Alligator mississippiensis: one gene and its partners. The protein of the gene in region 3 interacts with the protein of the main gene of each other region in a pairwise test. Links are inferred from orthologs where the notes say so. Each region holds a gene or a part of one and is shown on either strand. Other genes may lie near its edges.

Region 1 (7,664 bases), on a different chromosome or scaffold from region 3:
TTCTACAATACCTGTCTTATGACTTAAGATTTGATTTTTGGTGTAATTTAAAACCATACAGGCAACCTTTTTTCTAAATTATTTTATGTCTTGGGTGATGTATAGGACAGTGTACACATTTAGTACATCATATACTGTATCTGTTTTTTTCTTCTAGTGAGTCATATTAATAAAATATGTATGTATTATATTAGACATTGCAATAGTAGAAGGTCTTTCTGTAAAATACAAAATACTTGCACTTTGTATTTGTAAATGTGTATTTTCCAAGGTCTGTACTGAACACTGTTTAGCAGAATATGCAAGTAAAACTCTCACGTGCTGCTTTATAAAGTCAGCCAAAAGTGACTGACAGAGTAAGTTTCCTTGTTGAGTAAGGAAAAATTAAAGAAGTATGAAGATAGTCTTATGGCAGAATCTGTTTTCAGTGGGCTGGATTTTCTTCTCCCTACAAATGCATAAAACAGGAGTACATTTCTGTTCATATTTCAGGCAATATATTAATGTTTTATGAAGATTGTAAGTGACATTTAAAAAGATGACCTCAGAAAACTTTCTTTAGTACATGGTGTGTACATTATGTGTATACTTCAGTTTGCTTAACTTTTATCAGGATTAGGATTTTTATTTTCTCTAAAGGCACTGCAAGCACATAAGTGTAATTGGAGAAAGCAAAACTAAAATATTCACTCTTAAGACCTTGTTTCATTTCCTCAGAACATGATTCCTCATCACAAGGGGTAATCCTAGCTCTGGGATCATGAATTGTAACAACTGCATATTTATGGCCAGTGAGCATTAGGAGTGAAAATCTAATTTGTGGTTGACATTCTATCTGATGTATTTCAATGGACTAGCTTAGAAAATATGAAGGGAAATGGTAATATGTAGGTTTTGGACAACAACCTGATATGAATGATGAATTCTAGGAGAAAAATCTTGCCTATCAAACTTTGTTCAGTTTTTAAGAGCTGTCTACCCTTATGGGCATAATTTAAATTACCTGCTTTTACATTATACTATGATTACTCCTACTGATTTGAGAGGGTGCATTCCTGGCACTACTTTGAAGTGGATGATTATACAAGAGTAAAATATACATAGTATTATCTTGCATTCCCCTTTTCAGTTGCAGAGTCCTAATCCCAGGGTAAATTTTGATGCGAGTCTTTGTGACTCCTATAAATCTAAAACAGTCTAAAATGACATAATTGACATCTGTCTCCATCTCCTCAGTATGTAAATTACTCTAAATTGGACTCAGCCGCGTCCACATGAGCCCAGACATTTGTTTCTCTGGGGACAAGCAGCAGAACACCTTGTGCCCATGCCATGTGCTCTCTGACGTGTGGCAGGTTACCTGGGGTTCTGGGGGCTTTTGGGGAGCCGCAGCTGCAGTGCTCCTGGGAGACTGGCTGGCAGCTGGAGCATGGCTCTGGCAAGCTAGGTTCCAATTTTGGGTGGCATGCACTTCTGCCACATGCACCACCCCAGTTTTTTAAGGTGTGGGTTTTTTGACCCAAAGCAGCACCGCAGGGATTGCCTGCATGTGTGGTGTGTGGCACCAGAGATGGGTCTGCGGTGCCACACACTGCATGTCTGTGCTCATCTGGATGCTGCTCTTGAGGCCTTTTTCCGCTAGGAAAAGGTTGTGTAACTCACATTAGCTAACATATGGTAACTAACAACATTTTCTCTAGTGAAGATGTAACTTTGCAGTTCATCTACATGGGGAAATTCAGAAAAACTTCATCCAAATTATTAAAGATATGTGGGGAGGGGGGGCTTAAAGTGGCTTTATTTGGCTTAGTTTAACAATGTTGTAAACAACCATCTTTTTAACATTAATTAGTAGTTGCCAATGTTGCTTTCATATATAGCACAGATTGCTTTGTTGAGTATCTTTGTTTAGAAATTTATTTAGAAGCATTTTATTTTACTTCATTCTCAAATAAAGCTGCAGAATTTTAGTCATCAGATTATCTGCACTTGCCAACTTTCAAGTGATACTTGGATGGATGATAGTTAGAAGATAGTGAGAACAAGCATTACTAACCAGTAGGTAAAAGCATCTGGATCCTTAATAAAAATAGGTTTATTATTTTATTCAGGAGAATTAGTTTTAGATTTATGCTTTGGAACCTTGGCAATCTATTTCTTGATGTTAGTGAAATGTGCCACAAATGACTGAAAAATGAACTACAGAAACTGTACACTGTGTATAATAAACACCTTTTTCAGACCACAGTAAAATAATGAAATGAAGTAAAACAACCTCCATAACAGCCCATTCTTCCATGGGTGCAAATGCTGCCAAAGTAGTTAAATAGATGTGAATTTAATGTAAAAGACCTATCTGAATGCTGGGTGCCATGTTGACAATTCACACCCTTGCTAAACAGAAGTGCTTTGAAAAAAGACAGTAGTCATTTGCCTGTGGAGTTTTAAGATCTAGAACTTTATCTAGATCTAGTATAAGATCTAGTATTTTATGTAAAAAATTCTCAATAGATGGTGTTCTATAACATTTTTCAGGGCTAAGAGGTATCATTTTGCGTAGCCTTGCTATTATTTGGAAATGCAGTATGCAGGTCCCTTAGTTGGTCCACATGGGAAATCAACACCAGCATTTCTTGCCACTGAAAGGATGGAATAATATTTTTGTATATTTGCTTCAAGCCTCCTGTTTGGAGAAAACCCTTATTGAGTCCAGTAAGGGTGTGTGCAGCTGAGCTTCTAATAATGATGCTGGGTGGTCAAATATTGACAAGCAGCAACTCATGCCCTTATTTTCATCTCAGCTGAAGTGTTCCTAGGCTGAGTGGAAAATTATACAGGTTTCCCTTGCTTTATGCTGTACATGCGTTCCTGGAAAACAGTGCACAACTTGAATTCGCACAGAGGGAACCCGCTGCACAGTGTAACAAATAGGGACATCTTCCAAGACCTCAACTGTACTGACCCCCACCAGACCCACGTCTACCACTTTTACAAGACAATTTCGGTACTCCCCAACAGCAGACAGTTCCCACAAGCACCTGGTGGTGGTGGTGAACGTTACCATCATGGGGATGGCAACTACAGAAACACGTGTCGCAGACAATGAGTGAGGAGCACAGATCCACACAGGAGACTGTATATTTGGTGCACGCCACTCCCACAACGCACCGCACAAAGCAGCTGATTGCATAAGAGTGAATTTACCTCGCATATCACAAATTTTTGGTGTAAAAAGGGTCATCGCATAAGAGCGAATGCGCACATACAGAACCCACATAAAGCAAGGGAAGCCTGTACTAGGTAAAGCCGAAGTGTGAATTCAAAGCAATAACGGTGTGCTGGTGTATCTTCCCATGTGGTCTCTTATGTCAACTGGTATGAACAAAGTGGTGTTTCCTGGAACAGGTTTCCCTCACTTTATGCGGGTTCTGTATGAGAGAATTCGCTCTTTTGCAATGACCCTGTTTATAACAAAAATTCGTGATACGCGAGGTAAATTCACTCGTATGCGGTGTGATGGAGGCCCGCAGTCAGCTGCTTTGTGTGGTGCGTTGTGGGAGTGTTGTGCACCAAAATACAGTCTCCTGTGTGGATCCATCTGTGCTCCTCGCCCGTTGTCTGCAACGCATTTCTGTAGTCGCCATCCCCGTGATGGTAATGTTCACCACCATCCTGTGCTTGTGTGAACTGTCCGCTGTTGGGGAGTACCGAAATTGTCTTGTAAAAGTGGCAGATGTGGGTCTGGGGGTCAGGACAGTCGAGGTCTTGCAACCTATCCCTATTTATTATGTTGCAAAGTGAGTTCCTTCTAGGCAAATTCAAGTTATGCGCCATTTTTCAGGAACGTGTTTACAGTATGAAGTGAGGGAAACCTGTATAATTTTCTGCTCGGCCTAGGAACGCTTGAGCTGGGATGAAAATAAGGGTGCGAGTTGCTGCTTGTCAATATGTGGCCACCCAGCATATTTACTAGAAGCTCAGCCGCCCGTGTCCCTATTCGCTACACGGCAAGGCGGGTTCCCTCTGTGGCAGACAAGCTTCTTTGGGTGAATCCGACGTCTTTTATCTGTTCCCTCGGTGCAAATTCAAGTTGTGCGCCGTTTTCCAGGAATGCATGTACAGCATAAAGTGAAGGAAATCCGTCTAGAAATACTAGTATACTGTGCTGCCAAAGCAGATAGTATCCATAGCATTAAAAAAAAAAAAAAGCCTCTGTGGAAAGGGAGATGCACTGCCCGGACCAGGTCTCCTCCTCTCTCTCTCAGCTTCATATCCTTGACTAACCAACTCCAGCTGCAACACGGGTGCAGCTCGCTTGGCCTTAACACAAGCAGGGACCCTCCGAAGAAGTCAACGCTGCCCAGGGGGGAGAGGGGCTCCCGCGCCCGGGAAGGCGGGCAATGAGCAGCAAACCCCCCCCTCGCGGCAGAGGAAGGTGCTGTGCGCATGCGCGGGGCGGGGCCGCTCCTGGCTGGGCCGCGCAGACACACGTGCTGCAGGCGCCGCCCGCGCTCCCTCCCGGCTCCGGTCCCAGCCCCAGCCATGGCGGCCGTGGCCGAGGCGGGCTCCCCCGAGCGCTTCCAGGAGCTGCTGCAGCAGAAGGGCGGGTACGTGAGGCCGGGGGCTGAGGCCCGGGAGGGGACACCGCGGGGCCGGCCCGCTTCAGCCCCACCCCGACCCCCCGCTCACCGGCTGAGGGGAGGCCCGAGCGCGGGCGGGACCGGGGCCCAGTGCTCTGCTCTGCTCCCCCGGCGGGTGGCGGGTGGTGGTGCGGGGTGTGGGGCGCTCAGCGCCTCTGTGGCGACGCAAAGGCGACGCCTGTCGGTGCCACCCGCCCCCAGTGCCGGGTTTGGCCTCCTGAGGCCTGCAGTTTATGAGCAGCGGGGCTCGAGGGCCCTGCCGCGGGGAAAGGGACGAGGTAGCTTCATGTGGGAGCTGGAAGGGCCGGTTTTGTTCCCGGCTCCACTCTGGGGCAGGTCCCTTCCTCACGCTTCACACCCAGCCTGCTCCGCCACACCTGCCTTTCCTTGCATGTGCAGTCAAACCAACCCCTGGAGAAACTTGATGGCTGAGGGAAGTGGAAATCCTTTCCAAACCCACTTTACGCTGATTGTTTTGCTTGGTTTCTTTGTTTTTCTGACTTTTTTTTTTAATTTGAGGTTTCGCTGCCATGTGTGCGGCTGCAGCGCTTGGGAGGGGATGCTCTTGTTTTAAAAAAACAGGTTAAAAAAAAATAATGGAAGCATTTGCATCTTTTTTACAGACAGGTGTTTTTTAAGCCCAGGTATGTAAACTTGGGGTCCAACAGAGGTTCGTGGTGTTGCTTTCGTTTTTGAGGAGTTGTCGGGGATTTCTGGGAGGGGGAAGTAAAAGTGCTGCTGGTTTGTGCATGTGGACACAGCATGATTGATATGGAGTGACGTACCCTGGATTTTATTCTCTAGGAAGCTCCCTCTGTAATAAGGAGCAAAGACATGATCAGCTCGTCTGGGCTGACTTCCTGCAGTAATTGGGCATATGACTGGTACCCAGTTGCACCTTGTTTTCTGAAGGAGACTTTTACGTCAGAGTGCAGTGACTTAAATTCGGCAAGGCTGTGCATGGTGTTCCCACTCCACTTTTCCTAAGGAGCGAAGCTGATTTATTCCATAGTAAATGAATTGTGCCTTTACCCAGTATTTATATTAGTGAACCCTTAAAGTTAATGCCAAAATGAAGCTGTATCCATTCATATAGTCAGTGTGCCTAGTACGGTTGTATTCATGAACCAGAGACTCAAACAAGTTTCACCTCCTCTTCCTAAACTCTGAGAAATTTGCTGGATGTTTTTAAAATGGATACTTTCCATTCAAACAAGATTGTGTGTCTGTCTCTGTGTAATACTGTTGGGGGGGGGGTTGGAGGGATGGGGGGTTGTGTTTTTTAAAACAACTCTTATTTATTAAGTATTGTAGAATGGGCCACATCTTCCTTCAGTTTGTTTCTGGGACATAGACAGTAGGAGAAATTTTACAAATTAAGTTCGATACACCTCATCATAAGAGATGTTTCCCTGACCCAGAGAAGGGGAGAAGGTTTAAATCAGCACCTCTGTACAAGTTTGCGGTCCAAGCAGTGTAGCATTCAATTGTCAGTTGAGAAACTAAATGTGAAAAGAACTAAAGAAACAGGTGCTGAACAAAGGTAACTAATCTTCTTACTAATCATAACCAAAGAGGTCTTTAAAACGTATTTAATCTTTTAATGATTGGAAGTGCTAAGCCTTGATTTTGCACTGAGATCCTTTGATGCGGTCCAACATAATCATATGTACAGTGAAACCCAAGCAAGCATTGGAAAGTTAGGCCTTGCCCATGGGCGGAGGAGGGAACTTTTTGTATATTTCTAACTTCAGCTTGTGAAAAATCCCAGTAGACTAATCAGGTACTTAAAGTTAAGTTTGTGCTCATGTGCTTTGCTGAAAAATAGAAGTAGTTTAAAGTTAATTGTGATTCATTGAATCAGAGCTCTAGTTATAGGGGGCCAATAAGGCAATAATAAATAACTACTAGCATGTTATAGGTGATTTTTCTGAGGTGCCTTAAGAGTAGAGGCTGTTTCATGAACCTTTCTTGGTGAACCAAATAATTAAATACCTACTCACTTGGTAACTTTTTTGGCAACATATAGCCAATGGGATAGTTTTTAAAATTAGAAGTTTAAATGGATGACTGAAATTGTTCACCTCATTCCCAAATCATACACATCAAAGTATTGGCCATTGGTAATATTTCTCTCGTGGGAGGTGCAGGTTGTGTGTGTGTCTTTAAATCTTTTAGATTTTTGAGAGCACAGGACTTGCACACTTTTCTTACTGAAACTTCTTCCTTCTGCTGACTTTTTCTGTGGGGCTGCGCATACCTTTATCATTATCTGATCTTCAAAAGGAGACTGGATGCACACCTTGCTGGGGTTATTTGACCACAGAAGTCTTTTCTGTCCAGAGCATTGGGGCTGGACCCAATGATCTCATCAGGTCCCTTCCAGCCCTAAACTTCTGTGAATCATATTTGTAAGATTAGCAGAATTGATTTTACTGGTTTTCTTACCTTTAAGGCGTTAGTGTCACTTGTTTTGTTATCCAGGTTGCCTAAATTAATTTTAGATAACATACATTAAAAAGTATGTAGCTTCTTCATTGCATAAATAATTCCTATCTCTTAAATAAATCTTTTTAACGGAGGAGTTAACATAAAAAAATCCAGAACCTCTTTAACTCTCAGAAAAAAAAGAAAGTGGGCTAAGTCTTAATTATACTGTTGATTATATGGGGTTTTGGACCGTTTGATTTTTCCTAATATCTTTGTTTCAGAAAAGTCTGGGAATTAAGTAGTCTAATGGAGTGGATTGGGTGGTAAACTTATTGTGTGTGTGTGCACGTGCGTACAGTAGTAATAGTAACTCATGGAATGGAATATAAACTTAATATTTTTAAAATTTTTCCAAATGATATTTTGGTTTCAGAGTTGCAGAAACTTAGCAGTGATAAATCGATAATATAGGTATTAAATCTTCTAAAATTCCCCATGAATTCTAATTTTTCATGATGGTGGTTCAGGAGTGTCATAGTGTATACAGACAGTTAATAATAAATATTTACAAATTAAGAAAATGATACCAGTTAA
Region 2 (8,295 bases), on a different chromosome or scaffold from region 3:
ATTTCCATGCATCACTGGGAATGACAAATTAGTTGCAATCAACTTGGGCAGTATCTAGTGCTGTGTCGTTACCTGCAGCTTCCCAATTACCAAGGGTCAAATTTTGGCAATCTGATTCTGTGGGCAGCTTTGTTGACAGGAGTAGGGGTTTTCATACAATTATGTGTTTCTCTATGGGAGTAAATGTGGCATCATCTAATCTTGAATGGTTGGAACATTAAAGGCAAGAGAAATGCAGTGAAGCACATGCAACAGTTATGAAGATATAATTCTGCATACCTCACATTAACTATGGCGTACTCATGCAAACAGTTGTACCCTTTTGGGTCCAGAATGAGGTAACTGAAACTATTAGAAGCTATCAGCATCTTATTTATTTTACCTGTTTTCTATTCCCTTAAAATGATTCAGCAGAAAAAAAGTTTTATATATTTCACTGACCATCAAAATATTTCTGCCTATTAAAACAAAACAAAAAACCCCAAAACAGACTGTTTAAATGGAGTCCTGCAAAAGCTGTCAATCACTGACACAGAATTAATCAATTCCTCTTCAAAGGCTCTGGCTTTTTACACATATGGCAGCACTACTCTCTTTTTGGATCATTCTTTATGCTACAACATCCTTTGATGTTTTTCTTGCAGCTTTCACAACAGCTGTGGTACTCTACAAAAATGACCATCAAATCAAGAGTGCAACCATGTACATGCATGGGTGGGGGGGCACTGAAGTGGGGGGCACGGAAGAGGGGAGGCGGGGAGAATGACGACAAGGAAATCTTGGCCCATTCCTTGCAGATCTTGCAAGGTTCTACTGTACAGCAGGGCAGAGTTTGGAGATCCACAGCGGGGATTGGTAAACCTCATGTGGCATCAAGATATACTTGTTAGGGAGATTTCTTCCAAGCTGACATTTGCCAGGACTGTACATGGATACCCGAGACCAATGCCCCTTCAAAACCATCTTCTATCAGCCATCCGCCTGATGGATGATGATGAACAAGAACTGGCTTTCAGCTGGAGTAAGGACATAGCAGACACTACCACACAGAGTAACAGACAACACTTCAGTAGTGCTTTTTAGCCATCAAAGTCAAAAGCACACAAAGGTAGGTACCAGTAAATATCTTTATTTCCAATCTACAGAAATGGATGCTGTGAAAGTGTGGTTGGTAGCATTTTGGCCAACATCAGAACTAGACTTGGAACTGGAATTCAGCTCCATCTCCAGCGCTCATATCTCACCTAACGGAGCACACGTCTGATTGAGAAAAAGCACATCTAGAAATATCTAGTTTCTGGATATCATAGAAACTGTTCTCTATCACACTTCACAGTTCTAGTACATTTATTAACATTCTTTTTTCTGTTAGATGACACACGTATTGCCTTTCTAAATTTCCTCATTAATGCAAAAGCATTCATCTCACATAGTTGGTCAGACTGTTTTAGCATATGTAAACATTCGTCTTTTTGCCCAACAATATAGAAGTCTTGTTGCAAAAATATTTCCATCAGTGTCTCAACATGGACATACTATGAAGCTGAGTCCAATAAGTCCTTCCCATGCCCCATGCTGGCATTCCCATAATTCTCTCATGCTCTTGCACATAAAAGCAACATACTGTACCACTGGTTATGAAGAAAACAAACATTAAAAATAATTCCTAATGCTTTCATATCTGTTGATTTTTATAGTAAACTCAAATAGCACGATTCAGAATTCTAACATCGAACTCAGCTGGTAACACACACTAGCTATTAACGCAGTCTTTTCTTTTTTTGATGCAATAGGGATAACTTCAAAAGAAGTCACCAATTTTGAATACGCAGCTGAAAGATACGTCACAATTTTAAATGGGATCTAAAGTCTTTGTAGAACTGGGCCAAACATAAATAAGAATGGGGCAGAAGTAGAAGTACAAAAAGCTAGAACCCAAGCTGAAATATTTAAAAAAAAAGCAACAGAAGTAAAAAATACTACTACGTAGAAATACATCTTGCATGTGGCAAGTCTGAGAAAAGATGCTTATATCCTATACTTAGTATTTCACACTTCCCCTCCTCTTTTTGTTTTATTCAGCTGGTATGTCTTATCATTAGATAAGTCTAAGATTGTACAACTAGTTGTGTGCATGAGTAAATAAGAATGGAAGTATTCCCATCAATTTAAATGGGAACACACACACACCTTTGCAGCTATGCACCTAAGTGGACCAGGGCTCAACTAACTCTATGAGGGACAAATGTTTTAAGATATTTACATGTTGCTGGGGTGTTAGTTGTAGCTGTGTTGGTCTAAGGGCATCGGCAGGCAAGGTTCTTTGGGGAGATGTGAGATCTTTTATTAGACCAACTGAGTAGCTGGGACTACTCAGTTGGTCTAATAAAAGATATCACACTCAAAGCTAGATGTAGGGAGGCCTGGCTAGTTGAAACTACTCAGTTGGTCTAATAAAAGATATCATATCTACCAAAGAACCTTGCGTGCCTTAAGATACGTAGGTGCCAAAGTTCCACTGAAATCAAATGGACAATTAGATACCTAAGTATCTTTAAAAATATGGCCTCACATTATTTAAGGGAGGGATGTTGCCAATGGTTAGCTGGGAAATGGAAATAATGATGCTGAACTCTTTTGTAGCCCACTTTGAGGTCAACTGATGAAAAGCATTATGAGAGAGCCAGGCATATATTTGATGCTTAACATGAAAAATACATATCACTGAAGACCTTAATGCCAGAGAACAAGTAAAAAAAAATCAAAGTTCCCACTTACTAAACTGTTTAACCTCAAAACATTTTTGCTTTTCCCATATACAGAGCAAAACACAGAGAGCACACTTCTGAGATGCAGTGCGTGCACCACAAGAAACTTACAACGGGAACCTGCAAAGAGGTGCAATCCCAGATCTTGGTGAGGATGAGGAAGACAGCCCTCAGCTTGCTACCAGTGCCTTAAAAAGAGTGAGATAAATAAAGAATCAATACAAATGTCAGATGGTGTTTCCCTCAGGTTTATTTGGCAACCTGTATGCTTCTGAAAAAGTGCTAACAGCTGCTTTGAGTGTTACTGATAAGGAGGAGCAGAACAGATCAGATCTCTTCATGAGCTTCTACCTGAAAGGATCACTCCTAAGAGGCAAGCTTTGCCGGTGGGGATGGGTTAACCTCTCTACACAGAGCTCTCAGACATACTACTAACGTCATAAGCCAGGACTGTTAACAGCCTGTTGTAACAATAAGAACACCACTAAAATTTCAGGGTATGCTGGAATGTTTTTGCTGCCCTTCACTGACAGCAAGAAAATTTAGGATTTACCTCCTTAAACAGTTCAGCAGCAAAAGCAAGAAAAATTAGTTCTTAGTCTCACCCTCCTTCTCCTCCATGTGCTCCTGCCAAGCCAGGACTCCCTACATCTAGCTTTGGGAGGGTTTACGGCCTACTCTGCAAATACACTGACGCAAATACCCCCTTGCTGCGAGTCCACTGACTCTGGGATGTGTGTGACCAGTTTTTACACACGCCCTGACTGCAGTGAGACCGCTGCCAGCCATCAGATGACACCAGTTTGTTTCCAGGGTTAAAATAGAGATCCCACGCAGAGATGTTATCTTAGGCATTTGAAAAGTGCGTGCCAGAGTATTGTTCAGGAATAATGAAACTGAAAATATCTAAACCTGAATATTGTTGAGGACTATTCGGAGTATTGCCTGTGAATGAAAGTGAACCGGTACTGAAACATCACTTGTGTTTGCGTGCTCTTCGTCGATTACACCAAAGAAAATGAGGGTCAACCTGGCCGTTTCCCTCCCTTTCAACTTCTCTCGCACAGTTTTGTATTAGAGAGGGACCGAAGGGGATTCAATGTCACGCTGCCCATTCTTCGTCTCGGGGCTGATCTGCGTTCACCAAACCCACACCTGTATTTTGCCCTGTCGGTGCTTCTACTGCTAGGTAACGGTATCGTTTTGCTCCAGGCAAGTGGCGGTTGTTCACTAACGCACGATTCGTGGGGGCGACGGCGTACGTCTATTCAGATCCTCCTTGGCAGCTCGGCGACTGGTCTGAGGACGGGGGCAAGGCTGGTGTTCGGCTCCCGTCCCCCATTTAGAAATAATTCTCATTTTGGAGGGTCGCTCCCGGCCAGGAGTCGGTGGAACAATTTGCAAAAACGACGCGCTGGCGGACACTGCCGAGGAAAATCGCAGCTCGCCAAAAAGGCTTCGCCCGAAAATACAGCTCCACCGCTTGGCTCCAATCAGGCCAAAATGGTGCTTGTCCAGACATGAGGAGAGAGTCTTTGAGGCAATCTTTTCATTAGACCAGCTGTCCAGTCAGCTGTCAAATGCCAGATCCCTTCCCCTCCCCCAAGGACTCTGCCCTTCCCATCCTGTCTAAACCCGGGCCCGCCTCCCCCCGCCCCACCCCCTGCTCATCCCGGATTGGCTCCTGCCCTTGCCCCTCATGCCGGCCCCGGCGCTCATTGGGCCGCTCACGGGAACCTCGCCTTCAGCCACACTCTTTTTTTTTTTTTTTTTTTTTTCTTCACCCTGCCGTCATTGGCTCCCCATTGGGAGCGGCTCCTCCATTGGGTGGGAGGAAAGCGCGCTACGATTGGCCGGGCGGAGGCCGGGAGGCGGGCCCGCCCGAGGTGAGGGTTGTGTGAGGTGAGGGAATCTCGCGGGGTCTCGCCGAGCGCTGGGCGCGGGGAGGGCCGCGCTGATTGGACGGCGGGGTCACAGGAGGCGGGACGAGCCTCCGCGGCACCGGCCGGCGGCGCTGGGGCCGGCTCTGTGATTGGATGGGGGCGGCTCTCGCGGAGCCGGGCGGGCCGGGTCCCATTGGCTGCGGGCTGGGGGAGGGGGGCGGCCGGCTGCGCGCGACGGCCGCTGGCTGCTGGCGGTGCTGCGCTCCGCTCCGCGCGGCTCCGGCGGCAGGTGAGTGGCGGCGCCCTGTCAGCACCGGGCCCGGCCCCTCGGTCCCCCCCGCCCGGCTCTGGGGGGCCCGGAAAAGTTCCCAGGAGCAGCTCGTGGCCGCCCGGGGAGGGATGTAGGAGGCCCGCGGGCCGGGGGCATGTGGGCATGGCAGGGGTAGCCGCACCGGGGCTGTGGAGCGGTGCCCGGGGGGCTGCCGCGCACCCTCCTCGCGGGGGGCGCGGGGTCTGACCCTCCCCCGCCTCTCGACACGCCGCCACCGCCACAGGATGGAGTGCTAGTCGCCCGCCACGGCAGGAACCTCGGGGGGAAAGGGGGGGATCCCGCCCCACCCCGCCCGTCCCCGTCCCGTCCGCCGGTTCGGCTCCATGAAGACGTGAAGCCCGTTGAGCTCGATGCGCTTCGAGGCGGGCCGCCTAGGATGACGCCTGACTCGTGCTAAAGAGTAGCAAAACTTTGTGGGGGTTTCGGTCCTTTTTCCCCCCCCCCCCGCCCCCCCGGCCTGGCCCGATGACCGCTTGACCCAGTCGCGAATCCAACCCGAGGGCGGGTTTTTTTTGGGTTGTTGTTTTTTTTTTGTTTTTTTTTTGGGGTGGTTGTTTTTGTTTCGGTTTTTGGTTTTTTGAATGTCGCTCTGTGGCACGACGGCCAACGCAAAAATGATGGCGGCTTACAATGGCGGTACGTCTGCGGCAGCAGCGGGTCACCACCACCACCATCACCACCACCTTCCTCACCTCCCTCCTCCTCACCTCCATCACCACCACCACCCTCAGCATCACTTGCATCCTGGCTCTGCTGCCGCGGTACATCCCGTACAGCAGCACGCCTCTTCGGCGGCTGCCGCGGCGGCGGCTGCGGCGGCGGCTGCGGCGATGTTAAATCCAGGGCAACAGCAGCCATATTTCCCATCACCGGCACCGGGTCAGGCCCCTGGACCGGCTGCAGCGGCCCCAGCTCAGGTACAAGCTGCAGCAGCTGCTGCAGTTAAAGCGCACCATCATCAGCACTCACAACATCCACAGCAGCAACTGGATATCGAACCGGACCGACCTATCGGATACGGAGCCTTTGGTGTCGTCTGGTGAGTATGGAGAATCAGCTGAACTCGTTTTTTCCTGTCATTGTTTAACGAGTCGTCATTCATGCTTATTTTTGTCATTCGGGCCAGAAGACCAGAAAGCTGCTTACTTGCAGATTGCTTTTGATGATTCATATCTATTGTGGAAAGTTGGCTTCACTTGCGTGAGTGGACAGAATAGGGTTTATTGTGAAGCGGCAACCTCTCACGGATAGGCCGCACCGTAAACCGAGTTGAGTTTTGGATGATACCATTATTTTGAAGCAGATGCAACTTGTTTATACGCCTTGTATAAATATTGTACGACAAGAGGGGAATGGCATTTGGTTTACTTATAGATGAGCTGTGCACGCACTTAGGATAATGCTTAGTAGAGCGCACATTTAGACATAGGAAGTACATAGAAAACACATGAAAATTGGTGTCTTAGGTTAGTCAGCTGTCAACATCTTGGTCTTGGAGACTGCATTTGCCCTGCAGCAGCATATTACATATCACCCAGGACGGTGACACCTTAACTTTGCACATTTCTCATGAATGTAAATGGGTTTCACTGTCTTCCTGTATTTCTGCATGCTCTTTCTTCTTTCCCAACCCCTAGCCACTTAGGTCTGGGGCTCTTATCTGTCACACTTATCCTCTTCTTAAAATAATTTGTGACCAACCTAAAAGAGCTTTTTTAGTTAGTACTTTCCAGGATCATGAAGGAAACGGTCCCCTCCCCCCACCCCTTTTTTTTACAATACTTTGTTTTTGAGAACAGGAAATTTACCATAAGGCTTATGGTGCATTAGAAACGCCAAGTATGTATGGGTTTTGTTTTTTGAGACCAGGCATATTGCAGCACACTTCCTGTTCACAAATACGAAGTCAGAAGCATGAAACTAGTTTTACCCCACAAAACTTTTAACTATATTTATTCAGTATAGGTTTTAGTGGTATTTAAGAAATGTTGTCTTTGCTCCATCCCATCATTTCATTTTGCTGAAATAGACGTAGTCTGCTTTTTAAAGCTGTGATTCTCATGGTAGATCAGTACATGCTGCAGCTCTGAAGGGTTTTACAGTAGAAGCCTTCGAAGAGCAAGATTGCGCTTCCTTAAGACTGATAACTGCTAAAGTATCAGACAAATGTGTTTGTTGCAAAATATGGTTTTAATATAAAATACAAAATGTGTGGCTCAAACTGTGTAAGGGTTAAGGGAGTAGGTTAATGTTTCAGTTGAATTGCATCTTATTTTTACAGTCTCGTACCGTATATTAATTAAACGCTAATTGCTCAATGCCAGAAAAATGATTTACGTTTTGTGAAGGGTCTGCATTGCTGTACCTGGGTTAAAGTGCTCTTGCAACTATACAGCATAACCTAATTTTAAGCATGAGATAATCAAAATTAGAGAGCAGTCCTTCATACAGATATATAAAAAAAATATTTCTATCTTTCCTTTTATTTTTATCTTTGGCTATTGTGTGTGTTTTTCTTGCCTAGAGTTATTGCAGTCTCTGTTAATTTAGGCTGGTCGGTAAAATCAGATCCCATTATCTTTATCATCTGGTGCAAACATCTTGTTAAATACACATTTCCCTTGGTCTCTGTTTTCCCTTCTCTGTTTGAAAACAAAATTACACAAGAAGATCTGCTTGCATTATTTTTAATTATGTAAATATTTTATTTTGACACATGAAGATAGAGAGTCTAAATAGTAAGGTATATCAGCATTAACAAATGATCAAAAGAAAGGGGAAAAGATCCTCTTATAGAAATAGGGATAATATATAACTATACAGATGACAGACTGCAGGTAGAATGGGGGCCAAATCTTTCATTGATATTAAATGGGACCCTGATTCTGCAGTTGGATCCAGGCAGATGGAGGGGTCCCTCCTACCTACAATTGTAGGTTTGGGGCTATGGCATTCATTTTAAAGAAAAGCTGAAGTTTTCAATTCAGCAGTGGTTAAGATCACCGTGGGAGCACAGAGATCAAGGCTGACCCTGGTATAGCAATTTCTATATTCCTGTAGACTGGAAAAATACATACATATTTGCAAAACCTAATATCAAGTCCTTAGTTTGTTCAGTGGCTTCTGTTAGGCTTGTGGCATTGGATGATGTTAACTCTTCCAAGTAAAATGCATCCTGGATTTAAGAGTGATTATTCTTGGGCCTAAGTTTGTTTTACACAGGAGAAAATCTGTTTGGTGCAAATGGAACCCGATGTCTCTAAATCCAAAATTACTTGAGGTTTTAGCTGTATAATGAATCTTTTCTCTTACA
Region 3 (7,304 bases):
CAACTTTGGACAAGTGTCAAGTCACCAGCTTTTATGGCAAACAACATGCGTGAGACCTGGAACCGTGTCTGTATCCCAGGTGCACAAGAACAGTGTGCGTGTGGGTGGGTGCAACAGTGCATGCAGTGGGGCAGGGTAAGAGGACCTGCAAACCCCAGCACTTCTCACTTGATTCATATGACCAGTTTCTAATAACCATTTCTGAAAGCCAAGTGGGAAATGAAACTCAAGCTAACTGGGGAAATAAAACTGAACAGACTAAGGTCAGAGACCAACGGCTTATCTACCCAAGGAAACAGCCCAGAGGGCAATAATGCACTAACTCCATCTGTGGATGTTCTTATGCAACAATAAGGAACTAGTGCTCTTTACACCCCCTATTTACTCTGCAACAGCTATTGCAGGCTAGTTTTCCCCGAGGACAAGCCCAATATAAAGAAGCATGCCCAAGCCAGTCAGGGCCCATTAAGGGTGGAAAAGCCTCCTTCTCAGAGATGCCGGCTACAGTACATATGTAACCCCTGCTGTGGCTGACAGTGTTTCATCTTCTAGTATAGGGCTGAGGAGGTGGTTAGACCATTGCTACAATCCTACATAGCTCACAATCATAAGGTTGTATTTCAGCTGCATTGGGGCCAGCAACCATGTTGCACCAGTATCTCTATAATACTTGTTTCCACAGGGTAGACAAGAATCAAGAAGCAAAAGGGGGGTGGGAAACAAAGCCGGCCCTGTTTCACTGCACCTCCAAGCTCTTAATTTCCTTCTCATCCAACAGGTTGTTATGCCAGACAGCAAGGGGAGGCTCTCAGACAGCAGTGCCCAAGAGATACATACAGTCAAGGCTCTGGGGAGACCTGCTCCAGGCAAAGAATTCCTTAAATTTGTAGAGTCTGGTCAGAACAAACATATGCTGGTTGGCTGATCCCATAAACCCAGTGCATGCACCCAGTTACCTGAAGCAGGACTGTTTACTATTCCAGCCATAAATACAGAGGCGGCTGCTGTTTTCATGCCCAGGTCAAGGCAAAATTACAGAAGCTCCAGACTCAGATACTCGCTACTGAGGGGAATTCGCTCCCAGAAATTAGTAACCTGCACAACCTGCCAGGCTTGTTTCAGCACTAGGCTAAAACCATCCTTCCATGCCTCTCTAAGACTGAGGTACCGACCCCAGCACCAGTGAGGAGAGAGGGCTTATTTGCTTCTGCCTTCACTACCAATAAGAGGTGCGTTCTCAGTGAGATGATCAGTGTCAGATCTTAGGGCAGGCAAAACTCTTTGAGTAGCTTTGAGTGAGGCAAACCAAGGAAACGCCACATCCAGGAACACTTGGGACAGGAAATATAGCATGGGCCTCTCCTAGCTACACTGCACTAAAAGAAAAACTGCCCAAGCCCAGTTTCCACAAGAACCAAACGAGCCTACGTATACTGACATCTTGCTGAAAAGTCACCTGCTTTGGCATTGAAGACAGCCTCAAACACTGAAGGGACGCGGTTCCCCATGGAAGGGTCTAGCACAAGGATATTTCCCCCTGAACAGCATTACTTGGTCACAGCCACCCCATACTACACCAGGATTCTGCTTCTGGGAAGGGTCCGATTTAGTGTGCTTGGCTGCAACAACCAACATCTGCCTAAGGAAAGAAGGAGCAATGCCAGGCTAACTCATTCACCCAAGCAGCACCACTAAAGTTTAATCATATGAACCCAGCTCTTTGTTCACTCACGCACATCATCATGGGATACTTCACAGACATGGGAATGAATCACTTCCTTGGTAATGGGCAGGGAAGAGCCAGGTCCTCAACCCATGCGGCGAGCACACGCACTTTATGCAGGCAAAGAAAGAAAGAACAGAGAGGGGCAGCCATGTTCTCCCTGTCGTGCACAGTCCCATGTGTTCATGACAAGACCAGTTTCTACCTCACGTATTAACCGAAGCAGAAGCAGAGTGAAGTACGGGCCTAGCTGGGCATATGGCAACAGACCCATCACTATCAGCACAGAACAATGTCAGACACCTGAAATCAACACTTTGCAGTACCCATCTCTCATCTCTGGTGCCAGCTGCACTCAACTCCACCCACTCACAGCAACAAGGGGAACTCAGGCTGCTGCAGGGTCCCCACCCTGCTCTGCCCAGCACAGGGCAGGCTGAGCAGCCAACCAGGCTGCTGGGGGAAAGCAGCCTGAGAAGCAAGGAGGTGAGATGCAGAGCACAGGGGAGGCCCCTTGAGAAGGGAGAACTCCTGGTGAGGTGGGAGGCCTGGGAAGGAAAGGAGAAAGAAGGGTCCTTCCAGGGGGCCAACCCCACAAACCTGGGAGAGGAGGGCAGGGTGTGAGCCCCCTTGCCCTGCCCTGCCCTGCCCACCCCCTATCACAGCGACTCCACCCAGAGCTGTGCCCCTCTCCCAGCTGGCAGGGGAGAGCTGCACTCCTCAGGACAGGCTCTCTGCCCTCAGCCTGTGCAACCTGAGAAGGTGGGCAAGGGCAGGGTGGGGGGGCAGAAGAGGCGCCCCCAGCCCTGACACCCGACCGATTGATTTTTTTTTCGTTTTTAAAGGAAATGTGTTCGTGTCCCAACTCAAAATCGGCCAAATCCATTCCAAATCTGCCAGTCATTCAAGAACCGCATGTGGCCCTATTCCCCGCAAGTCTCCTCTGCCCCCGCCTGGGGCTTCGGATGTTTCCAAATCCTTTGGCGGGCATCCTACGTGCAAGCCCGAGCCCAAAAGCCTGGGGTTCGGATGCCCCCGAGCCTGGCTTGCCCTCGGCCTGAGGGCCAGGGAGGAGTCTCCCCTTTCCGTAAGGCCGAGGTCTCTCCGCTGGAAGTGAAAGTGGGAGGCTAAGTAAGCATGACCTCGGCCAGGGTGGGTGCTACCCCCTGCCACGTTCGTGGCCGCCCCCAGCCAGGAGGAAACCCAGGTGGCGGCCAGGGTATGTCCCCTGCCAGGTGGACCCCCGCGCAGCGAGGAAGTGCCGACACCCCGCACCAGCCTGGCACCAACCACCTCGTGCGGCTTGGCCTGGCCTGGCCCGGCCCGGCCCGGCACCACCCACCCACCCGCCTCGCCCCGCGTGGTACCTGCGGCGGCGGCGGCCGAACCAAACACCAGCTCCCGACCCAGCACCACAAGAGCCAAAGACACTGCCAGATGCCAGCCCCGGCCGCTCCCCCGGATTGGCCCACGAGCCCGGCCTGCCTCGCCCCCGTTGGTCGCTGCTCCAAAGTGGGGCGGAGAATTCGGCGGCGAAAACCTGCCCTGTCCTTCCCGGGAACCCCTGGTCAGGTGATGGCGGAGTCACATGACACGCGGTCCCTTCCCCCCCTCCACGGCCCGGCAGGAGCTTGCGTTGGGTCTCTTGGTGCTGAGGGAGCGAGCAGGACGGAGAGCCGGGCTGGGAGGGACCCCCGAGGGGATCCAGTCCAGCCCCTGCTCTGGCAGGGTCATCCTTAGCCGAGCCCCCAGCACAGATCCGGCTCGCAGGGGCCCGCAGACGCGACAAGTGTGGCCCAAGCCACCCGCCCCTGCGCTCAGCTGCTAATGTGACATTGGCCCTGAGTGCCCACCTGAGTCCCTGCATGAAGAGGCATCTGGTTGCCTTGGGGGTTGATGCCCTACTTGAGGGTGGATGGCCCATGTGCTTATCAATAAGGAGCTGCTAAGAAATGATAGACCTCATGCACCACAAACGGCTTGGGAGTGGGTGTATTCTTGCTTCTGTGGCTGCCCTACTTCTCTTGCTGACTGCGTTAGACTGGCACTGTTTCCTACAAAGTACGATGGATGGACGGATGGAAGGAAGGAAGGGATGCTACAGCATCTGCAGGCTGAGCTGTTGACTGCATCAAGGCACCTACACAGCATATGGGTGACATTAGGCCCCATGAAACAGGCTCTCCAGTGTTGCTGGCTCCTGTGAATTCACTGCATGTAACATGTTTTCGGCCCCTTGTGGCAAGAGCCAAAAACTCCCAGTTTCATCTGATCTGAGGGTAACAAAATGTGTCGTCCTCACTCCCCTCGGTCTGTGCCTAACCACACTAAGCCTTGACTCCAGAGGTCACAAGCTGTACTGCAGATGTTGCCCTGCTCCTATTCCTATGGCCTACCCAGCTTTTAGTATTCACATGGTCTCCTCCTGCCTTCTTGGGGGGTTGCTATCCACCCATTTTACAGCTAAAGGTAAGAGCTCAAACAGGGTCTCTTGCAGAGACAGAGCCCAGGAGACTTATTTAATAGAGCCAAGCCAAATGACCTGGTGCAGAGTTACTTGCCAATGGTCCGTGCAGTGCTCCCATCACTTTCTGGTACAGTGCCCTGTCTTAACAGTTGGTACCTCCCATGCCTCATTTTAAAGTCCCATATTTTCTGAAGTGCTGAACATGTTGGGTGTTGAGCTCTTGGGCTGGATCCAGAGGTGCAGGCACATGTGGTTTGTGGTGCTGCAAACCTCTTTGCAGTGCCACAAATTACATGACTTGCACATTAATCAGTGCTCTGCGCTGCTAATTTGCAGTGCAGGGCAAAATTTGTTCCCAGGATTTCCCAGCAGCAAATCCCCACCCTAAAAAAAAGTAGCGCAAACCGTGCCAAAGTGGCAAGCACCAGGACAAACGCAGAGACTGGGGGTGAAGGGGGGAGGGGGGGGTGCAGGGGTGTCCAGTGAAGGCAGCTGTGTGCATTGTGGAGACCCCATGCTGAGGCATCAGCAAGCTGCTCCCTAGTTGGCTGGGGTATAGGGTGCCTCAAGACAGAGGATCAAGGAGCCCCAGGCTGGCTCTCCTCCTGCAGCATGTGAAGCAACAAGACACATGGGCCAGGGTGTGCACTGGGGCACAAAGTAGAGACACACATTTGTGCCACTACTATTTGTACTGCTGTAAAGGCATACCCCTGCTCGTGTGGGCCTGGCCTTGGACAGCAGGTGCAGGAAGTTTCCCCTCCTCCCCTTGGTTCTAGTGTTTTCACCTATGCAATTTCCTTCAAAACAAACTTGAACTGAAAACACTTTTTGTTTTCAAAGCCACTCAACCCCTGCCCCAGCACCAAACACTGGAAGCACCGGTCATGCTGATGCTGCACAAACTGCAAGGGCTGTGGGAAAGCAGAAGTGGAGGAAACTGCAGGAGGGGCTGGGCTGGGGTTGCTGTCCTGTAACCCTTTACTAAGGGTTGCACTGGGAATGCAGAGAGATTTGGCACCCATGCTCTGGTGCCACACAAACCTTCCTGGGGCCTGGCCCTGGTGAGGGGAGGGCAGCTTTCTGGCTGGCTGTGACAGGAATCATCCTCCTGTGTATCTAGCAGAGTTTTAAGGAAGGCAATTGCTTACTCTGTGATTTTCCTGCAAGGGCTACTCCATGTAGATTGCATGATACTAGGATTTGGTGGAGTCCAAGCAGTTGGTGTGATGTGGGGTGGGAGGGGTCACTTGTAACTACCTGGGGGTGGGTCTGGGGGTGATCTGTTAATAACAGAATATGGAATAGGGTGTATTTCTCAGCCCCCCCCCCTTGTTCTTTCTTGCCCCCATCCAGCCCTAGAGCCTGAACCCAGCCATGGCCTCACAGTGCCCCTCCCAACTACCGAGTTTCTCCACTCCAGATTGCACACAGCACTTGCCCCATTGCCCTGGCTGGGGATGCAATCAGATCTTCCGCTCTGCTGTACTGCCTTCCTGTTCCCTGGGCAGAGGAGTTTCTGGGGTACTTTTGGCTGTCCTGTCACTCACCCTTAACAGGGCTCCCCACTCCTGCCCTGTGCACAGTGCAGTGAGCCCCTCCTGCACGGTTTCTGGGGCACAGAAGTGCCTAGCATCCTTCCCCCACAACTGAGTTCAGGAAAACTCTGTCCCTTCTTCCCGTGAGGGCTATGAAAACAGCAGAGGCCATCCCTCTTGCAACACAGCCACCTGCCCCAGCTGCTCCATCTGTACTCTCAGCACTCCCCACTGGCTCACCAGCATTGCTGCCCCCACAACTCTCAGCACTGCTGGCAGGTCTTACCCAGCTCCTGAGGCTTCTTGGTGGAAGGAAAGGGGGAAACTGCAACAGAGCCCTACCAGGGATCTCTCATAGGACTGCATGTGTTTGTAGTCTTCCCTCTTCATCTGCCTCCATTTCCCCTTGGCTGAGCTGTGTGTGGGACCCTGGATTATATGATTTCCCAGTGAGAAAACAAGCTTCAAACACCTGAAAAGCTCAGAGAGAAAGGGGGAAATCCTCCACCCACTCCATTACTTTCCAGATGCCTAAAGCCTTGCCTAGGTTAATAGCCAGAAATACAGTCACTGCTCCTTGGTACAGGGCAGCCACAGGAGAAACGTTTGCTGGGTTTAAAACCACAAGCCCTGTGTGGGTGCCAGTGTATTTTGGTGGGCTCCCAGTGGCCACAGCAACGAGCAGACACATGAGGCACTGCCCTGAAGTTACTGCTCAAAACTCCTCCTTTCCCTATCATGGAACAGGTTTGCTTGCTAACCACAATCCACCCCAGAAGTAGCTGCTTTCTAGTGGTAGCATGAGGACTTTAAAAAGAAAGGACAAACTTCCACACTGTGGAAGGGGACATCTTTCATCTCTTTTTACATGTACCTCCTTCATGTCTTTGAAGATCCCCCTATTCTTTAAAAAAAAGTGAATGCACCCTTGGCTGTTGGTGAGCTGATCAGGGTGGGAATGTCATCTCTAGACATGGTGCTGGGGAGCCTAATCATGGGACACAACATCCATTCTAAAAAGATGTTGAGACATGAGAGAAGGTGCAGAAAAGAATCACACACCAGATGAATTGTTGTACAGTGAGAGACCATCAGAGCCTGGTCTGTTTAGCTTATCAAAATGATTGAGGGGAGACTTCATTATAGCATGGAGGTGTCCTTGCTGGGAGAAACTACTTAACAGCCTCTTAAATCTAGCAGAGAAAGGCAGAACAGAACATCTGGCTGAAAGCAGAATTCTTGCAAATTCAAACAGAAAATAAAAGTTGAGATCAGTAGCAGTAATCAAGGGTGATAAACTGGTGGAACAAACTGCTACAGGAAGCAATGTTTTCTATATTTTTCAGATCACGGCTGGGACCTTCATGGAAGAGATGCCTTTATCATGGTGAAATGTCCTGGCATTGGGTCACCTGATGACCTGATGTTCTCCTTTGGCCTTAAACTCCAGGGCTATGAATAAGCAATACCATGGTATGTACAGGCTGGCACCTGGTAATCCCCAGTGTGTCAGGGACATAGCATGGGTTGGAACAGGGGAAACCCTGCCTGAGGTCTGTTCATCCTGCAGTAGTTG
Region 4 (8,086 bases), on a different chromosome or scaffold from region 3:
CTTTCTTAATGCCCTTAATGTAATTATTATTTTTTGCTGTTAACATACACAAATACCAACCAGCAGCAGGAAATCACACAGTTAAGAATAACAAACACTCATGGAATCAAAACTCATGGCAAAGGTGATAACTTTTATTGGACCAACTAGATATTTGCAAAAAAAAATTATTTGCTGTATTCTTTTTAGATCAAATATTTATACTGTTTTCTTCCCCTTCTCTGTTTATTTCCAAGTATCAAATTATACTATACAGATTCTCATTAGTAAATATAACTTTGTATTATTTGCAATTAGTAAACTACCCAAAGCACTTTTTCTTCTCTTTTTGGCTTCCTTTATTCTGTTAACTTAATTTAGATTAGAAGCCACAGCACAACTGATTCTGGAATTACTGCCTTGGTCCTCTGGTTAGTGGTCACTTGTAATTAACAGCTGACATTCTTTCAATTAAACAATGGAAAAATAAAACTTTATCAAGATCGGATAGATTAACCATCAAAATTACACCACTTAAGTATTCCACAGAGAAAACTGTGGGACATGCTATCTCCCTAACTGATAACAGCAGACACTTAAGAATTCAAACATGAGATGCAAAAAAACTTGCAAAGAAAAGGAGAAAAGGGGGAATTAACTATCTGACTTCATCTCCTGGGATTTCAGGGTTTCAGGCCCAAGTGTGCTTCTATTAAAATAAAACTACTACTGAGCTCAACAGAAGGAATATAAAGGCTTTGGGGATATTTGATTCCTTTAAATGTAAATGTGTATTTTGGGCATACATGTACTTGTCATTTGGGTTTGGACAAGTTTGTGTATCAAACAATACTTAATACTTTGCAGGGGTCCTATGAAGATGAGTGTCTGTTAAGCGTTTATGTACCTACTTATTTTAGTTTATGTACAAACAAAAGTGTCTATGCCAAGCTCTAGGGCTATCTTAAAACTTTAACACCCCCATTACCATAATCATTATTAATAAAATACCCTTGCTTCACAGATTCATACTATAGTCATTCATGCAAAACTACAGCTTGTCTGGAGATTTTACCAATGCCAATAACAAAGCAAAGAAGAAAATGTTTACATCTCCAGCTCCCAGTACAACCAGACAGTCGGGAATCTGAAACCATTTTAGAACTGAGTAATGGTTATACACACCTCTTGATAAATTTCACTAGTAAAACATCAAGAGCTAGCTGCTTATTTTAAGTGGAGTAATAAATGAAATGTTAAAAGAACTGGGATTAAAAAAAATATTTCCCTCCTTAACAATGAATACGAAACAGACATGAGCCAGCCAAATGCTGGTACCTATCAAATCTGAAAGAAGGGAGTTGTCTGGGTAGATTAAAAAGAATGAAGTTTCTTTGAGTGATGACAGTTGTTCCAGCCATTGCTCTGGGGATTTATTGCTCAGAGGAGAATTTTACAGTAATTCATTTAGTTTATCCTATAGGAGATGGGAAGATAATGTATTCCTAACGCAAAAGATGCTTTCTTTATAAGCATGTTTTTACATGTATTTCAGTTATAAAGCACTGAATTTGGTCTTATCTGCAGCATCCTTCCTGGACAGCCACAGACTTGAATACATTCCAAGAACTCGCACATCATTTCCTATTGCAACGGGATTAGGGCAAAACTCATTCATTAAGAAGCTATCTTTGGTGGAGAATGATTTCTTTTCTTCCATCACCTCTATTTACTATAAACATTTAATTATGGAAGTTTTCTCCTTTTTTTTCAGCTCACATGAATGAGAATTCTTTAAAGCAAGCATGATTGATTAGTAGCAAATGGGAGACATTTAGAGGGAAAAAGATAAACTAACACTGCACCCATTAATTCATTTGTACGGTGCTACATTTGTAAAGTCCCTTTTCAGATGCTCCTAAATGATAGTAACAATAATAACAACAATAATGAGGATGACGATAATAATGATGATGATGATAAAATAATGGTAATAATCACAATGGTGACCATAAAGGTAATGATAGTGATAATAATGATGATGAAATTATTATGATAATGATGATGACATCATCCGTGATGATAATGAAATCATAATGATGGTGATGATCATGATGATGATAATGAAATAATCATGATAATGATGATGGTGGTTGGTGATAATGAAATGAGGACAACGATAATTATAATGATGATGACAATGGTGATACAATAATTCTGATGATGAGGATAACAAAAATAATAGGAATAACAAAACCAGAGCCATCCAAAGGTAATTGGCGCCCTAGGCAGACTGGGTACCTTGGCACCTCCACCACTTCCAGTACAGAGGAAAATTAGGATAACGTTGCCAGCGGTATGCTCTTGTCATAAGTCCGCTCAAAAGTTGGAAAGGTAGGAGTCGCGATACTAGTGATCTTTTCCGAGATCGGTTCCGAGGTCTTTCCCCCCTTCCCCAACCAAAGGTCTTAGAGCAAGGTGGAGCCGGAGCTGGCCAGGGCTGTCACTTAGAATGGTGTTCCTGTTAGTTTGTTCTGCATATAATTTTGGCGCCCCCCCCCCTCAATTTTGGCGACCACCTAGGTCGCCTCATGGTTGGCCCGGCCCTGAACCAAAGAACTATCAATCGAACAAGAACAATGACAACTACAGCGATCATCACCGTAACAATTACTAGTTTAACAACTAAAGTAGCAATCACCAAGCAGCAGCACCAAGAACGGGGGAGGAGGAGGATCTCCCAGAGCTTTCTCCCTCTCCGGGACTAGCGCTCCGGGCACCCTGCTCCCCCGCCGGTGTCACTGACCTGCCGCCCGATCTGCCCCGTGGCGGCCGCAGGGGCGGGCGCGGGTCCCGGAGCAGCCGTGTCCGCGCAGCCCCGGCGTCCCCCCGCGCCTCCTTCCCCCGCACCCTGGCGTCGCTGTGTCTCCTCCGTGCGCCGCCGCCGCCCTCCTCCCCCTGCAGCCGCGTGCGGGAGCGGCCGGGACCCGCGCCCGGGAAGGAGGGAGCGAGGGAGGGAGGGGACGGGAGGGACGGGGCTTGGGGCGGGCCGCGCCCCCGAGCACAGCCTGGCCTGGCCCGGACCACCACCCCCCCCCCCCCTCCGTGCGGCCGCGGCGCGGGAATGCCTCCACTGCCCCCCGCACGGGGATGCTGCCCCGCCACCTGCCCGCCGGCTGGAGGGTGGAGGCGGTCCCGCCACGCCGGGAGCGGGTCCGCGGCTCTTACCTGCCTGGTCCCGCCTGCCCCGCCGCGCCCCGCGCCGCGCCGCGGCCCCGAGCCCCCCACAGCGCCTGCGAGCGGCTGCAGGAACCCGGCGGCGGCAGGGGCCAGAGCGGCTGCGGCAGCAGCAGCCCCGGCCGGCGTCAGTCAGGCTGGAGCCTGCGAGCCTGTATTAGTGCGCCGGGCTGGAGCGCGGCCAGGCAGCGCGGCTGGCTCCGGCCCGCCCCTGCCTCCCCCCGCACCCCTCCCCTCGCTCACACACACACACACACACACACACAGCCCTCCACCCCCCACATGCACACTATCCCTCCACATGCAACCCCCACATAGCTCCCCACCCCCCACACGCACCCCCCCACTCACACGCTCCCCTTCACACACACACACACACACACACACACTCCCCCTCCACATACAACCCCCACACACACTCCCCACAGCCCCCTACACACAGACCTCCACACACACTGTCCCTCATCTCTCTCTCACACACACACACACATTCCCCTCTGCACACATGCTCCCTCTCCACATGCAACCCCCACACCTGCCCCCCACTCCCCCAAACACGCTCCCTCTCCACACACCCCCACACCCTCCACACCTCCCACACATCTACACACACTCCTCCCCAGATACACGCTCCCCCAACACACACACACACCTCCTACTTGGACCCTCCCCAGATACATACTCCCCCTCCACGCACACGCACGCACGCACACAAGTGCTCCCCACCCAGGCACAGAGGGAAGCAAGGGGGCAGGCCAGGCACCTGGCCACCCCTCTTGCCTGCCCCACCTGGGGCCCCCATTCACGGATTCCCACCAGAAACTCTGACTTGTGGAAGCCAAGGATGAGACTGGGGGGGTTAGAGCTGGGGCTCCTCTTCCCTGCCCATCCAGCCCTTTGCCTGGCTGCCTGGAAGGGCCTGACTGGACAGGTGCAGACCAGCGATTCTCAGTGTGAGGAGTGGGGAGCATGGGACCCTGAGGTGCCTTGAGAGCCTATCAAGTGTGCCCCCAGGGTGCTACTTGAAAAAACGAGAACTCTTGGCTCCAAAATGATACCTTTTATTAAACCAGCTGGGAAATAGCAAGAAAATCGTCCTTTTCTGCAAGCTTTCGGGATCAAAGTCGCTTCAGCAGGCTCTGGGAAAAGTATAGATGGTACAAGGTGGTAAAAAGTCCCCATAAGTAAGAAATAAACTTCATTCTTGCACAGAGGGAGCTGAAAATGGAAGGCTGTCCCTCTGGGTCCAAGAGAGTGCCTTTGTGGGCTGTGCTGAGTGGCTCTTTGATGTGTAGATCAGGTTGAATTCCTTCCCTGGAAGTGTCAGATGGCAGGCAGGGGGGGTAAAAAAATCTTTCTTGTTCTGCAATGAAATTTAAAATCCAAAACCAGCTAAAATTCGGCATCTTCCATGTTTCAGGGGTGTACTTGGTAGCTGTGTTGGTCTTGGACAAGAAGATATACAAAAAAACAAAAATCTTGGTTCCAAAATGATACCCAGGGTGCTACACAGCCTTAGCACTGGGGCAAACAGGAGTCACCAGATAAAGGGGAGATTTTGAATAGGAACCTGTAGGGTTAAAAGCATCCTGCCCTGCTGGGGGCTTTCTGAGTTGTTTGCAACAGAACAACAGCACTGATACTTTTCCAGAGTCAAAAAATGAACCAAAGCCAGGAGCCAGCATTTTCTTAAGTGTGCCTCCAGTGTGAAAAGGTTGAGAACCACTGATCCAGATCTTCCCCACATCTACAGCTGGCCAGGCTCAGGGCCTGGGTTCTAGTCCATCCCTGTTGGGGAGTTTCATAGTTTAATAAGTGTCATAGTAGCTAGGGTCAGGAGGGACCTGAACAGATCATCTAGCCTGACCCCTGCCACAGGCAGCAAGGAATGCTGGGTTCACAAGACCCCAGACGGGTGATCATCCAACCTCCTTTTGAATTTGCCCAAGGTAGGGGCGAGGACCACTTCCCTGGGAAGTTGGTTCCAGATTTTGGCCACCCTCACTGTAAAATATTGCCTTCTGATATCTAAGCTAAACTTATTCTCCATCAGCTTATTACCATTGTTCCTCGTCACCCCAGGTGGTGCTGGGGAGAAAAGGGCTCTACCTATTTGCTGTTGATCTCCCCTGATAAGCTTGTAGGCAGCCACTAGGTCTCCCCTCAGCCTCCTCTTGCTGAGGCTGAACAGGTTTAGGTCCCTCAGTCTCTCCTCTTAGGGCCTGTCCTGCTGCCCTCTCACCAAGTGGGTGGCCCTCCTCTGAACCCTCTCCAGGCTGGCCACATCCCTTTTGAAGTGCAGTGCCCAGTACTGGACGCAGTACTCCAAATTCGGCCTGACCAAAATCGCATAGAGGGGCGGGTATCACCTCTCTGGACCGGCTTGAGATGCACCTTTGGATGCAAGGTCTGGCTGGCCTTGCTGGCTGCGGTCTGGCATTGGCGGCTCATGTTCATCTTGCAGTCAATAATGACTCCAAGATCCCTTTTCTCCTCTGTGCTTTCAAGAAGGGAACTCCCCAGCCTGTATGTATGCTGTGGATTCCTTCTCCCAAGGTGCAGCACCCTGCATTTGTCTATGTTGAACCCCATCCTATTCTCATCTGCCCACTTTTGTAGTCTGTCTAAAGCCCACTTTTGTAGTCTGTTGATTTGGATCCACAGTTCTCAGACCCATCTGGATCACCTACCCCTTTCAAGGTGTGCCATGTGGATACACACCCCCATGGCTACATGTTACACATAACACATTTTGTCACTACCACTGCACTGCGTAACCTCTCTGACAATGTCAGAGGTGATGTAGAAGCTTTCCTCTTTCCTTTCTACTTTCCCACCGCTTCCTCTCATGTACCCTCCTAGAATTTTGCTACATATCCCCAGGGATATAGGATGTAGGAGAGAGTTAGCTGGTCACCCAGTTCTGTTCTCTTGCTGAAGGCAGTATTGTTCCTTGAGAATATTTCCTAATGCCTTACCTGGTCTTTTGGGTGTCACAGGCATTGGAGTTCCTTTGGGAGGCTTTTCTGCTCCCAAAGAAATCTCGCTGCCAAGCAGCCCTTTACATTGAGGGTACATATATAATGAGTATGTGAATAATGCATCCACAATTAATAAACACCACTCCATTTGTCAGCATGTTGCAACAGAATGTTATAATTGTTCTTGTTAATAAAAGGGCTTTTATGACTTCATCCTTAACCTGCATGACACAATGTTATGCGAATCCATATGCTGCATTAATATGCAATGGGACAAATTATGGCCGGGTTAAAAGAAGTGTGCTGAATGCGGGGGAGGGGTTTTCAAGAGCTCCTTTGAAAGCCTTGTCTAGGAAGCAGCCAGTCAAAGGGACAGGGGTTAAGAGCCAGCTGGTATTGACTGCAGGGCTGCCCCTCCTCCACCCAGGACTCCTGGAGCCCTATGTTTTATTCAGGCACAAATACTGCCCTACTGCATGAAAAATCCTTCCTGTACCCCATAGGCACAAAGTTCACATCCAACCTTTCATCCAACCTTTTCCTTTTCTTGATAAAAAGGTGGTTTGTAAATAACATCAGTAGCTTTTGTAGGGGAGTTTTGGACTGTTTGAGAAACTGACCATAAAGCCATAATTGCAATCATAACTTGTAACAATAGTGGATCTATTTCCTATCTTTAATACTTAGTATCAAGCAATTATTAGCAATACCAAAATAACCATTTATGCATTGCATAACAATCTGTAACGAGGCATTTATATCAGTTGTTGTATATACAGAAGTAAAGAGAAATGACAGGTATCAGGGATCTCTTGGTCTAATGACATGAGTAGTAGAAGTCACTAGAAATAAGAGGCACTCTAACTTCATGAGCTTTAAGATACTGACTCTAGGGCTACAACTGAACTAATCAGCTCATGTAATGTCATGTTATGTCTAAAAATCCATCAGAAGTGTGATCAAAGATGTCACTAAATATGGAGCCCTGACATCTCATGACAAACTTTATCAATTATAAAACATGGCAGAAAAACTACTGTAATTTGCATAGAGAGTATAAGCCCACAATTAACTTATAGTTTAATAATAAATATTATGTTCTGTAAAACAAGGAATCTGACTCTGTGAATAACAAGTAATAATAAGGGATCTTCCACTGTGGGTGCATTTACACATGCAATTAATGCAAAGCAATACATTCTGGAACAATTTGAGCCATAGCATCTACATGTGTGCCCAGGACAGCAGCAATCTGACCTGGGGTGGAGCAGGCCCAGGCTGGCAGGGGGCACGTGAGGTCAGCCCCAGGTGGTAGTGTCAGAGGGGCTGGCCAGGGCCCAAGGGTGCTAAAAGTTCAGAGCCATGTGGCTAGGTAGTGGGCAGGAGTCTGGCCCTGGGCTGGCTGGGGTGACTGGGCACAATTCATACCTGTGGTCAGCATCTACACATGTGTTTAATCACAGTAAATTACCCTGGCATGAGATAGTACTATCTTGTAGTGGTGTTAATTAGTTTATTGAGGCCTAATACCATGATGTATACAGATGGTGACACTTTACTCCACAGCTAATTAGTCTACTCTGCAGTAAAGTGCATATGTAGATGCAGCCTGTAACAGTTTAGGCTTCCCACCGAGGTCCTAAACATCACAAATGTGTCAGCTGCTTTTCCATTACTGCTGTGTTCCTTCATCTGAATGAGACTTTCGAGAAATGAGTGACAAGTGAGACACTTATTTATTAATCTGTCATAAACATTTATGAAGCACCTACTACTACTGTATCTTGATGATGGTACATGAGACTTTGTATCTGTAATGATGTTAACATTTTAAGAAAACGGTAAAGAAATCATACACATAAAAAGTAAATCAATAATAGTAGGATTGT

What was found.
Region 1: the proteins of GRN (region 3) and GLRX3 interact in binary tests that used the Homo sapiens proteins (3 or more experiments, as listed by UniProt). The link is inferred for Alligator mississippiensis from reciprocal best matches to the Homo sapiens genes GRN and GLRX3.
Region 2: the proteins of GRN (region 3) and NLK interact in binary tests that used the Homo sapiens proteins (3 or more experiments, as listed by UniProt). The two-hybrid records come from large-scale screens. The link is inferred for Alligator mississippiensis from reciprocal best matches to the Homo sapiens genes GRN and NLK.
Region 4: the proteins of GRN (region 3) and SMAD9 interact in binary tests that used the Homo sapiens proteins (3 or more experiments, as listed by UniProt). The link is inferred for Alligator mississippiensis from reciprocal best matches to the Homo sapiens genes GRN and SMAD9.

The regions. Positions count from the first base shown.
Region 1 is NC_081829.1:77,670,856-77,678,519, reverse strand, and holds the start of GLRX3 (glutaredoxin-3), read left to right. Parts: upstream 1-4,498; 5' UTR 4,499-4,542; coding exon 4,543-4,607; intron 4,608-7,664. UniProt on the Homo sapiens protein: Together with BOLA2, acts as a cytosolic iron-sulfur (Fe-S) cluster assembly factor that facilitates [2Fe-2S] cluster insertion into a subset of cytosolic proteins.
Region 2 is NC_081837.1:7,254,657-7,262,951, forward strand, and holds the start of NLK (serine/threonine-protein kinase NLK), read left to right. Parts: upstream 1-4,877; 5' UTR 4,878-5,563; coding exon 5,564-6,021; intron 6,022-8,295. UniProt on the Homo sapiens protein: Serine/threonine-protein kinase that regulates a number of transcription factors with key roles in cell fate determination. Positive effector of the non-canonical Wnt signaling pathway, acting downstream of WNT5A, MAP3K7/TAK1 and HIPK2.
Region 3 is NC_081827.1:160,435,343-160,442,646, reverse strand, and holds the start of GRN (progranulin), read right to left. Parts: upstream 3,285-7,304; 5' UTR 3,091-3,284; intron 1-3,090. UniProt on the Homo sapiens protein: Secreted protein that acts as a key regulator of lysosomal function and as a growth factor involved in inflammation, wound healing and cell proliferation. Regulates protein trafficking to lysosomes, and also the activity of lysosomal enzymes.
Region 4 is NC_081824.1:420,513,036-420,521,121, reverse strand, and holds the start of SMAD9 (mothers against decapentaplegic homolog 9), read right to left. Parts: upstream 3,333-8,086; 5' UTR 3,208-3,332; intron 2,891-3,207; exon of another isoform or gene 2,786-2,890; intron 1-2,785. UniProt on the Homo sapiens protein: Transcriptional modulator activated by BMP (bone morphogenetic proteins) type 1 receptor kinase. SMAD9 is a receptor-regulated SMAD (R-SMAD).